Chlamydomonas reinhardtii: one gene and its partner. The protein of the gene in region 2 interacts with the protein of the main gene of each other region in a pairwise test. Links are inferred from orthologs where the notes say so. Each region holds a gene or a part of one and is shown on either strand. Other genes may lie near its edges.

Region 1 (5,740 bases), on a different chromosome or scaffold from region 2:
CCCGCGCCGCGCGGGGCGTGCGTGTCACATCCACACACACGCACTCCAAGGCACTGACGCCCACACCGACGCCCAACCCCAGGCGTGCTCCGCCCCTTCCTGGCGGACTGGCGGGCAAAGTCGCCCCCGGCCCCCGACCCCGCCCACCCCGACCCCGCCCCGGCTCCGGCCCCGGCCCCGGCTCCCGACCCGGCCCACCCCGGCCCCAACCACGACCCCGACGCCGCTGCTCCGGCCCCTGCCCCGGCTGCTGCTGTCGGGGGGATGCTGCTAGGCGACCCATTGGCCACTGCCATAGCGCTGGGCCTGGGCGGGTTCGGGACGGGGCCGGAGCTGGTCGCGCCGCGGCTGGGCGGGCCGGAGGATACCGGGTTTGAGTTCGGGACGGGGCCGGAGCTGGGCGCACCAGAGGCCGCCGGGGTCGGGTGCGATGGGCCAGGGCAGGGGGCGGTGCGGAGCCGCGGGGGTGCTGGGGTTGATGCCGGCGACGAGGCGGCGGCGGCGGCGGCGGGTCCCACGGCGTCGGCTGTGGTGCTGGAGTGGCGGCCGGCGCGGTGCAGCGTTGTTCTGCAAGGTGCGCCTGACAGTTATCAGCTTGATGGACCGGGCGAAAAGAGCACAATGGAGGGCAACACGCGCATGCCTGCTGCGGGTTGTGGCTCAAAGACCTGAACGGTTGTGTGCCCAACTGCGAATCCACGTCAGTAGTTACTGTCTGTCCGGCTCAACGCGCTCCTGCCCTGGTCACACACCCACACTCCCACAGGCGAGCGGCGGGGCATGAGCCTGCTGCGGCCGGTGGCGGTGGCGGGGCCGGTGGCGGTGGCGGGGCCGGTGGCGGTGGCGGTGGCGGTGGCGGGGCCGGTGGCGGTGGCGGTGGCGGTGGCGGAGGCGGCGGCAGCGGCCGCATCAACGGCGGCGGCTAGCGTGGGCGGCGGTCGGAGAGGGGAAGCAGCCGGGGCAGTGAGGAGGGAGGGGGAGGAAGGGGCGCTGGTGGCGGTGGCGAGCCGTCTGGATGTGGGGGCGGTGACACGGTTGGTGTTGGCGGCGGCGGGCGTGGAGTGACGACGCAGGAGGCTGGGATTGGAGGGCACGGTACCCATGGCAGCGTTTGTGTGGTGGCTTCTGGACGGAGGGGAAGGGGGCTGTGCTCATGAGGCATGAGGACAAAGCAACAAGAGAACACGTGGCAAAGGCAGGAGCTGAGGAGCCTCAGGGGGCGGGGCAGCTGACGGCGGGTCGGCTGGGCAGTCCAGAGAGGTGCTGTCAGTGGTGTGTGGGCGCTGTGTGCTTTCCGTGATTGCGGCACGCCGGAAGCCGGCAACATGAGTACATGCGTATTGCGTAATGCGGTACGAAGTACCAAATCCAGGCATGTCACTGCCCCGAGAGACCTGTCGTCATCGCCGCCGCCGCTGCCACGCCCGCTGCCCTGCACTGCTCGTGCCTCTTCCTTCTTGACAGAGAGCCACGCACCGTGTGCAGGGGGGGGGGCGCCCTTTTAGCCTCGTGGCCTCGTGGTTGTATGGGGCGACGCTTGGAGCCCTCGGCGTTCGGGGTCCCTGGGCCGGGGATTGTAGGGACCCCCACATCGGGTCACCAGCAGTGGCGGGTGGGCGGACACAGCAGGCCTTCCTCGCTGTTCCTCGCAGCCTCGCTGTTCCTCCTGCAGGCGGCGCTGTTGCGACGGGAGGAAATGACGAAGGTGGTGCAAGCATAAGTAGCACGGCCGGGGCATAGGAATGCTGGCGGCAGCGCTCGCAGAACAACGAGTCGCGCCGCAGTGGGCCACAGCGCAGCAGATGATGAAGTCAGACCTGGGGCCAACGCACGCGGCGAAGGCAGCGGCGAAGGCAGCCGAACGCGCAGCCGAACGCCCAGCCGGGCTGGCGGGCTGCGAGGTGCAGCGGAGAGCGAAGATAACAGCAGCTGCAGTGGAGTGTCGTCCTCGCGCTGCTTACTGTGCTGAGGGTGGCAGGGGTGTGGTGGGGGCGATGGAGGTTGCCACCGGGCAGGCGCAGGGGAGGCGTGCCACCGTGCCAGGACGACCTTGGTGCATTTAACACGCACATAATTGAATTAACTAGCAGTGGTTTCTGTGCAGTCTGTAGCAGCCCAGGGCTCAGGGAGCAGACAGACCATCATTCCGCGCGCGCTGCATCGCAGCCCCTCCACCAGAAGCCGCTTCCCCTGAACCGGCACCCGTCCTTTCCTACTTGTTAGGATACATTTGCGGCAAAGTCCGCACTTGCATTTATCACAACAGTCTCTTTTCGCGCCGCCGACTAGATCGAAAAATGGTAGGACGTTTCGCTCTTCCCCTCGGCGCTGCCTTTTGCTGATCTGGAGTTTCTTTTTCTCTGCAGTCTAAGTTCTGGGGCCGCGGCGAGAGCGAGGATGAGGAGGAGGAGACCACTGAGGAGGAGAGCAGCGAGGAGGAGGGCAAGAGCTCCTCCTCCGGCGACAGCTCCTCGTCGGACTCTGACAGCGACTCGGACTCTGACTCCGACTCGGACTCGGACTCCGACTCCGACGACGACGGGCCCAACAAGTGAGCACATCGCAGCCGCCGAGGTGCCCTGCGCGTGCATCGCCCAGCGCTCACCGTTTTTGTGTTTATGCTATGATTTCAGGTTCTTGGCTGGGTCCAGCGACTCGGATTCGGACAATGATCGCCGCGTGGTGAAGAGCGAGAAGGACAAGCGCATGGGCGAGCTCGCGCAAACCGCTGAGGACATCCGGGTGAGGCCTGGAGCTTCGACTGGAAATGTGCAGAGCGATGGGGTGGCCACGGGGCGCCGGGGAACGATCGACGGTGTGGCGGGAGAGATGCGGCAAGGCTTTTTTGCGCGAAAACCGGCGTTCTGAGCGTCTATCACGCTGCGGCTGCATTCCTATTGTGTATTTACAGAACAAGATGAAGATCAACGACTGGAGCGCTATCCAGGAGCTGTTCGACACGCTGAACGCGCGCCTTGACAAGACGCGCAAGTTCCTGTCTGGGCCGATGCTGCCGCGCGTGTACCTGAAGCTGCTGGTTGACCTGGAGGATTACCTGAATGATACTCTGGCGAACAAGGAGCTGGTGAAGAAGAAGATGTCGTCCACGAACGCGAAGGCGCTGAACACCATGAAGCAGCGCCTGAAGAAGCACAACACGCCCCTGCTGGAGCAGCTCAACAAGGTCGGCCGGGGGTCAGCAATGGAAAGATAGGGGGGAAGCGCACGCAGAGCGGCAGCGGGCTGCGGGGGTCCGGGCCACCGTGTGCGGGAGGAGGATGCGTGCCTCAGACTCTGCAACACCCCATTAAATGCTGCGAAACGCCTGCGCATGCCACAGGTCCGCGAGAACCCCGACGAGGAGGACGAGGTGTCGGAGGCGGACAGCAGCAGCAGCGAGAGCGGCAGCGACGACGAGCGCGACGCCGAGGAGCGCAAGCAGGTGCGCTTGCATTTGTGTTTCGTGTACCGTGTGTCTGCCTGGACATGTGCTGCCAACTGCTACTCTGTTCGTCACTGCCATCGTCTGACTAACCATATGCCTGGAACCCTTCCCCCCGCTACTGCTAACCCCCACGCGCTCCCCCTCCATACGCAACCCTGGCCTTCCATAACAATAGGGCGCCCTGGCCGCCAAGGCCAAGGACAAGCTGCTGACCATGGACCCCAAGGAGATCACCTACGAGATGGTGGCGCGCAAGATGAGGGAGATCGTCATGGCCAGGTAGAGGAGGCGGACGGGGGAGGGCGGGCTGGGCGGAGGAGGGGGAGGGCGTAGGCGGGACGGGGAACGGCGGCACGTACGGGCTGGCAGAGACGTGGAGCTCCGAGATTGGTGGCAACGCTGGGATCCCATCAGCTGACGGCGAAGGAGCGCGGAGAGCTACCCGCTTGCACAGCAGCAGCGGCAGCGGGAGCTGCGTCAGCGGCAGCGGCAGCAGCAACGGCAGCAATGGCGCCAGCAGCAGCAGCAGCAACAGCAGCGACGGTATTGCCGCATTGTGTGACTGCAAGCTGAGGGCGGGCTCTACTGCGACGCGGCTCGCGGAGGGGGCTTTGGCCAGGGGTTATGGCTGGGGGTTACGGAGGCGCCCGATTGCCACCGTGGCTGTGTGCTGCGGCTGTGGCGGCGCCGCTGCCAGGCAGCGGCGGGCGGCGCCGCGCTGGCGGCAGGAGGGACTTGGGGGGCGGGAGAGCACCGGGCGCACCAGCGGCGGCAGTGGCGCGGCTGGCACGGCGGCGTATGGCTTGGCGTGGGCTGGCGCGCTGGCATGCCCGCCTGCGCGGCAAGGTGCGCTACGGTGCAGCAGCAGCTGTTGCTGCTACGGCCTGGCCCTCCGCCACAGCGGCTGCGGCGGCGCCTCCACCTACAGTGCCGGGAGGAAGGGAGGGAGGTGCTGGACTGCAAGCCGCCGCCTGCAGCGCCGCCGCCTCCGCAGCCGCCGCCACAGCAGCAGCAGACAGGCAGGGGCACTGCATGGCGGCGCTGGAGTAGCAGTGGACGCACTGGACAAGGAGCCAGGCGCAGCTGCAGGGGGGCGGGGCAGGCCCGGCCGCTCCCGCCGCACAGTCCGTCGGTCCAGCGGGAAGAGGGGGGCGGGCATTTATGGAGGAGGCGGGCGGCTCCCCTGGCGCGCGGCTCGGCACGCGGCGGCGTCGCGGCGGCGTCGCGGCGGCGTCGCGGCAGCGGCGACTGCCGGCTGCAGCGTTGCTGGCAGTGCTGGCAGTGACAGAGGGGGGCGGCGGCAGCTGTTGCGGACACGTTCCCTGCAGCAGCAGTAACATCAGCAGCAGGGATAGCAGTAGCAGTTGCAGCAGTCGAAGCGCGGTCGGCGGCTGGCAGCGTCGCTGGCGCGTGTGCCGTGGCTTTCTCGCGGCGGTCTGGGCGGCGCGGCGCTGGTTCCGGCTGTGCTGACGTACCGGCCTGTTCACAGCGGGCACCCGTGGCACTCATCACGCACTCGTCACACATCCCCGCCACATCCCCCCACTTCCTTAACTAATCATGAATGTAACCCCACACACACACCAACGCACGCACCTTGTTCCTACCCCACCTCAGGGGCCGCCGCGGCACCGACAAGCAGGAGGCGGTGGAGATGCTGACCTACCTGGCCACCGTGGCGCGCGGCGCGGCGCAGAAGTTCGAGGTGAGGGTGGTGAAAGCGAATGGGAGGAGTGGAGGGAGGAGGGCATGTGGTTGCCGTTTGTTTGTTATGTGGTTTTAATGGGGCCCAGTTGCAAGGCGTGGCGCTTTGAGGGGTGGCAGGGGGGTGGGTTGGAAAGCAGGGCGCCGCCTTGCATAAACGACTCCTGCCACTGCCACCATCCGCTCCCTCCCCCCTATTATGCTACTTACCTACCCCGCCCCACTCACCCAACCACCCCCTGCCCGCTCCGCTCCCCACCCGCTCCCCTCCCCCTACGTCCCCAGGTCCTGGCGCAGCTGAACGCCAGCCTGTTCGACCTGAACCCGGGCATGCACGGCCACCTGCCCACCGCCACGTGGCGCAAGGCTGTGGTCAACCTGCTGGAGATGCTGCGCATCCTGCAGGTGGGGGGGCGTGGGGGGCAGAGAGAGGGGGTGGAAATGAGGGGTGGTGGGGTTGGGAGAGGGTGGCAGAGAAAGGGCTGGAGGGGGTGCGTGGGACCGTGGTGGGAATGATGTGTCTGTGTGTGTGGGGGGGGGGGGCGGAGGGGAGCTCTACGTATTCGCCAAGGCCGGCCGCGCTCACCTGCA
Region 2 (5,656 bases):
TGTTGGCGAAGGCTTATGGACGCCTTGCTGAAGCCTGCTTGGACTGCCTCGCCTCGGGTTACCCATTGTTCCTCAAAAGCAGCCAACCTACATCATCAACCTACATCATCGCGCCTCTTTCTAAGCGTCCTCTCGGTGCCCAAGCCCTCAGACGCGACCCCTACACCAACAGTCTCGCCAACTCGCCAAGCCACGCCACCCCCATCCCCCAACCCAACCCCCACACACCGCCCCGCCAACCCGACACGCGCTCACCTCGCCCCAGCACACGACCAGCGCCAGTGTGGTGAAGGCAATGTAGATGGTCATCTTCCAGCAGCTCTCGCACCACTTGCGCATCTTGGCCTGCGCCGCCTCGTCCATGCGCTTGTCGGTCTTCTTGGGGTCACCAAAGCCCATCGCGTACCGGCCCCATGGCTGTTGCGCGTGAGGTGACAGTGAGGGTGAGGGGGAGGATTGGTGATTTGGGTTGGGCGCAGGAGAGCAGAGCTAGGTGGTGTTGTAGGGGGGGCATGGTCTGGTGGGTGTGGGACATGGCCGGGACGGGCAGGCAATACCATTTATGTTAGTTTCCCCACACTGTGCGCCACCGATGCCAGACACTCCTTAGCCCCAAGCCTATGAGCGGTGGCGAGGACTGCCGGATGCTTCGATGAGCTCTGCGACTTCTCCGTGTCCGTGTCAGAAGACAGCAGGAGAAGGAGCTCCCTTCCCCCGCGCCCCTGCCCCGCCGCCCCCTCGCTCCGGGGTCGCCACGCACCTCGTACACATACTTGCGCAGGATTGCCCGGATGAAGGGGAATGCAAACGCAAAAACCAGGCAAAGCGAGAAGTCCAGATAACGATCGCCCAGCAGGTACTCCACATCGGGCTCGGGCTCCACGTCCAACGCGGTAAGCGTCTTATTAATGAAGTTGTGCTTCGTGCCAGTTTCAAAAATCCATTTCCCAAGCGATGAAAGCTTATCAAGTTGCAGCCGGTCCGGCCGAACGCCGAGTGCGCCCGTCACCTCCATGTCAGGACCGCTTTGATCAGCCTTATACTATGGCCAGTTTATTGTACGTACAGCGACACAGCGCTTGTGTTGAGGAAAGGCTGCTGACAGTTCCCGCGCGTTGGCGCTCGTTGCAGGTCCCAAGGCTTTGTTAGTTATTTGACAGGTATCCAACGTAGTTTTATGATGTTACACTTGCAGAAGAAGTCGAAGAAAGCGTGCCGCGGGTGTCAGTGCCGCCGCAGTGCCAGCGCATGGCAGGGCGCGTCATCTCTCCCCTGAATGCCCCCGCCTTCCACAAGGGTGACCGGGCGCCATCCCGGCGACCCCATTTGGCAGTTCAATGGCTGTAAACAGCTTCAATTTGCCTCGCTGCGGTGACGGTCTCTGCCCTGCAGCCTGTGTGACACCGCCCTTCAATGCCTGCGAATGCCCGCGTAGGCGCCGATGGCCTTGCTTGTGTGCCCAGTGTTATCGGCCCTCGTGCACGCTGCCCACCATGAATATGGGCCGGGCTGCTTCATGAGGGGCTCCGGATGCCCTGCAGGCAGCCCTGCTTCAGGCTCGGCTTTCGGATGCTTGCGTGCCTTGGGGGGCCAACACTGGCACCCGCGTTGGAGAAACGCGGTGGCTCCGTGGGTGGCTTGGGTATTTCACTGAAGAGGACTGATGGCTGCGCATAGTCACAATGCTGTAGCTACATCCAAGGAATGGGATTGGGGAGCACGGCCCTATGTCCCGTTCATGAAGACCCGCTGCAAGCCGATGAGCGAAGGAGCGGTGAAGGGGCCCCAAGCCCCCAAGGTCCATGGACCATGGCGAGCCGCCATTCAACTTGGGGGCGGCAGAAGCCCGGTAGATGCAGCTGTTTTCAGGCTGTATGAGAAATGGTCTGCCTGGACGCCCTGCAGTTGGGCGGACTCGTGGGCCAGGCGCCAGAGGGGGCGCCAGGGCGTGGCGTGCCAATGCACACGTGAGGAGTCGCGCTAGTCTCCCTCCTCGCGTGCACCCGCCATTGCTGACTTTGTAACTGTAGATTGATGTATCTTAGTAAATGTAGCATGTCGGCGCCACTCGCAGGCAAAACCGACTAGCGTTCGGTGGGCGCCGTGCGCAAGTGCAGAGCTTGTTTGTAGCTTAGGCACGTCTTTAATTTGCTGCTCTTGACATTAGGGCAAAGACTCAGGTCTTTCCGCAGCGTACCGGCGAGGGGGCGACAAATCCAGCCCCCCGCAACAACCCGCAAACGGCAGGGCCTTCGCTTTGCTGCTGTGGTGTATTAACTTATCTACCAGAGTACAATTACGGGTTCACGGCTACACCGAGGCAGGAGCGCGAAACCCGGTGCAGCAGAACCCTTGCTCTTTACTCTTAGCACTTGTACCTGCTTGCGGAATGTTCTCAGCAGCTTAGCAGCAGCATCGCAAATATGATGCTGTCGGGAGTGGGTCCGGTGCCCACCAAACCGGCTTTCAAGGCCGGTGGCGACACGCTCTCGCGGCACCTGGAGGAGCTGTGCCGTTCTGGCGCATGGGAGCGGCGCCACAAGGATGGTGACAAAGCATTATTGGAGTACATCGAGGCGGAGGCTCGGGACCTGTCGGTGGAGGCTTTTGGGCGGCTAATGACCGACGTGTATCAGCGCATCGGCAACATGCTGCTCAAAGGGTGAGGGCGCCTGGCTCTCGTTTGGGGCATGGGCAGGTGGTGTCATGCGTGGCCTGCAAGAGGAGTCCTCAGGGGGCTAGCCCTGGGGCCCCGGACCCTGGAAGGGGGGTAAAGCAGCTGTGGGGAACAAGGCTGCGGGTCAGCACGCCAAACACGGACGAAGCGTTGACTTCTCCTTTGCCGGCGCTTGCACAGGAACGACATCACGCGGCGCATGGGTGGCGTGCTGGCGATTGACGAGCTTATCGATGTCAAGGTAAGTCAGCCTGCTAGGCTGCAGCAACCGGAGACGTTGCTGCGCGCAGGCACACCCGTGCGGACGTACCATTTCCTAACGGCACACCAACCACCGGATATAATGCCAACAAAGTTCTGTACATTCTTGGTCCATTGAATCATATCGTACTTAACACCTGCAGCTCTCTGGAGACGACGCTGCCAAGACGGCGCGGCTGTCGGGGCTGCTGTCGCGGGTGCTGGAGGAGAGCGAGGACCCGGTGCTCAGCGAGTCGGCCTCGCACACGCTGGGACACCTGGTGCGCAGCGGCGGCGCCATGACGTCGGACATCGTGGAGAAGGAGGTGAGGGGCGCGGCGGCGGCGATGGGGCTGCGATGCTTTCGACACATGGCGTGGGGTGGGCTTAGATGTGGAGTGACGCCTGGGAAGTGGAAGGGAGGTGCGTTCATGTGCACGCTGGGGAAAGACATGCTTACAAACTTACACGGCGCGCCCCGTGGCTGGCCCATCCCTCAACCCAGATCCGCCGCTCGCTTGCCTGGTGCGACCCCCGCAATGAGCCCAATGAGTCGCGGCGGCTGACTGCGCTGCTGGTGCTGACGGAGGCGGCGGAGTCCGCGCCCGCCGTGTTCAACGTGCACGTCAAGTCGTTCATTGACGCGGTGTGGTTCCCGCTGCGCGACGCCAAGCAGCATATCCGCGAGGCGGCGGTGCGGGCGCTCAAGGTGCGGCGCGCTGCGGGCTGGATGCAGGACGCGTGCTGGGGTTGGCAGGGCTGTCAGAATATGCGGGAATGGCTTCAGCATAATGGACGGGGCGAAGGCCATCATAGCTATGCCTGCGTTGAGTTGTGTTTTCTTGCACTGCTCGACACGCCTTCTGTACACCTGCCGCAGGCTTGCCTGTGCCTGGTGGAGAAGCGCGAGACGCGCTACCGCGTGCAGTGGTACTACAAGCTGCACGAGCAGACCATGCGCGGCATGAAGCGCGACCACCGCACCGGCGCGCTTCCCTCGCCCGAGTCCATCCACGGCTCGCTGCTGGCGCTGGCGGAGCTGCTACAGCACACCGGCGAATTCATGCTGGCGCGGTGAGTGGAGCTGCGGCTAATCCGGCTGCACTAACGCAGTGCAACCACTCCGTCCCTGCATGGACGGCTTCCGGCGTTTCAGGCCTGGGCGTCGGGGAGAAGTAGTAGGCTGCCGTGGGATAGCTCCCGGTGCCACCGATGTTACCGGCGTCCCCGGCGTGGCCCAGGGCGCAGGTGTCGCCCAGTAGTAGGTCTGGGTATGCTGCGCCTGCGGCGCTGTATGGGTCAGGGCCGGGAGCACAGAAGCCGGTTGCCGGTCCTGAATTCATGCTACCCTCCCCCGTCACCTCGCTCCCTCAGCTACAAGGAGGTTGTGGAGAACGTGTTCCGCTACAAGGACAGCAAGGAGAAAAACATCCGCCGGGCGGTCATCCACCTGCTGCCGCGCATGGCGGCCTTCTCGCCGGAGCGCTTTGCGTCGGGTGAGGGGAGGGGGGGGGGCAAGTCGGCGTGTGGTTTGGACCTGGATCAGCAGGCTTGGGATGAGGCACGGTGCGTGGGGCGGGCTGGGCCGGGTCTTGGTGCGCAGGGCTTGAGTCTGAGCTACGGGCTAGAACGCCGCTGCGCAGACGACTGAACGCACCCGCCTTGCTGTCCCCCCCTCTGCTCATGCCCTGCAACCCCCTCTGCTCATGCCCTGCTCCCCTCCTCAAACCCCACAGAGTACCTGGCTCGCGCCATTGCCTTCCTGCTGATCGTGCTGAAGAACCCGCCCGAGCGCGGCGCGGCGTTCGCGGCGCTGGCGGACATGGCGGCGGCCCTGGCGCGGGTCAACTGCGCGGCGGGTGAGGGGCGCTAGGAGATGAGGAAGAAGAGGGGAGCGAGGGGCATTGAGAGAGGAAGAAGAAACTGCAGGGGGCGGGCGTTGCTGGTGCTTGTTGGACAGGGGCCGGCAAAGGGGGGTGTTGCTGAATGGAGGTTGATAGCCGTCCACGAAACTTGGGGGATGGGGTGCGGGGTTGGTTGGCGGGGTAAAAGGGCAGGCGTAGGGGCATGGGCGGGGCGAAGGGATGCTGATGGAGGGAAGCGGGGCGATGGGACACCAAACTACGGTAGTGGCACGCTGGCACCTGTATCTGTGCCTGCACCTGCGCCTTTGTTACACCACATCGCCCAGGCCATCCGTGGGCCCGACGCCCGCGCCACCCTAACGCAACGCACGCCGGCCCTCCAGACACTCTCACGTCCAAACAATCCACAGGCTTCGAGGGCTGCCTGTCGCCCATCTACGTCGCCATCCGGGAGGCGCTGTCGGCGCCGCCCGCCGCGCGCGCCGCCGCCCGGCCGCGGCCCGCCACCTGCTACGAGGCCCTGCAGTGCGTGGGCATGCTGGCGGTGGCGCTGGGCCCGCTGTGGCGGCCCTACGCGGCGGCGCTGGTGGAGGCCATGGTGCTCACAGGCGTGAGCGAGGTGCTGGTGCAGGCGCTGACGCAGGTGCGGCCGGGGTGGTGGGGCGGGGCGGATGGTGGGGTGGGAGGATATAACATTTGTGGGGTGGGAGGCCTGGTGCGGTCGGGTGCTGGGTGAGCGTGGGCGCTTGGTGGGTTTTTTTTGCGCTGCGGTCGCAACGCCGGCACGTAATGAGCAGCCCAACAGATTCTCGTGGCTGGCTTCCGGTACGGTGCGCAAGCCCGCACCATCACATCGTTTCCCCCGCGCCAACCG

The links.
Region 1: the proteins of CHLRE_09g400553v5 (region 2) and CHLRE_04g217550v5 interact in binary tests that used the Arabidopsis thaliana proteins (3 or more experiments, as listed by UniProt). The link is inferred for Chlamydomonas reinhardtii from reciprocal best matches to the Arabidopsis thaliana genes TOR and EIF3C.

What each region holds. Positions count from the first base shown.
Region 1 is NC_057007.1:243,051-248,790, forward strand, and holds the start of CHLRE_04g217550v5 (uncharacterized protein), read left to right. Parts: upstream 1-2,100; 5' UTR 2,101-2,297; coding exon 2,298-2,300; intron 2,301-2,366; coding exon 2,367-2,551; intron 2,552-2,633; coding exon 2,634-2,742; intron 2,743-2,911; coding exon 2,912-3,184; intron 3,185-3,340; coding exon 3,341-3,442; intron 3,443-3,620; coding exon 3,621-3,724; intron 3,725-5,062; coding exon 5,063-5,150; intron 5,151-5,434; coding exon 5,435-5,554; intron 5,555-5,740. Other genes in the region: CHLRE_04g217500v5 (uncharacterized protein), read left to right, coding at 83-574, 767-1,065. UniProt on the Arabidopsis thaliana protein: Component of the eukaryotic translation initiation factor 3 (eIF-3) complex, which is involved in protein synthesis of a specialized repertoire of mRNAs and, together with other initiation factors, stimulates binding of mRNA and methionyl-tRNAi to the 40S ribosome.
Region 2 is NC_057012.1:5,518,704-5,524,359, forward strand, and holds the start of CHLRE_09g400553v5 (uncharacterized protein), read left to right. Parts: upstream 1-2,039; 5' UTR 2,040-2,423; coding exon 2,424-2,662; intron 2,663-2,857; coding exon 2,858-2,918; intron 2,919-3,081; coding exon 3,082-3,243; intron 3,244-3,422; coding exon 3,423-3,626; intron 3,627-3,797; coding exon 3,798-3,991; intron 3,992-4,291; coding exon 4,292-4,413; intron 4,414-4,653; coding exon 4,654-4,776; intron 4,777-5,165; coding exon 5,166-5,425; intron 5,426-5,656. Other genes in the region: CHLRE_09g400516v5 (uncharacterized protein), read right to left, coding at 256-417, 761-1,015. UniProt on the Arabidopsis thaliana protein: Essential cell growth regulator that controls development from early embryo to seed production. Controls plant growth in environmental stress conditions. Acts through the phosphorylation of downstream effectors that are recruited by the binding partner RAPTOR.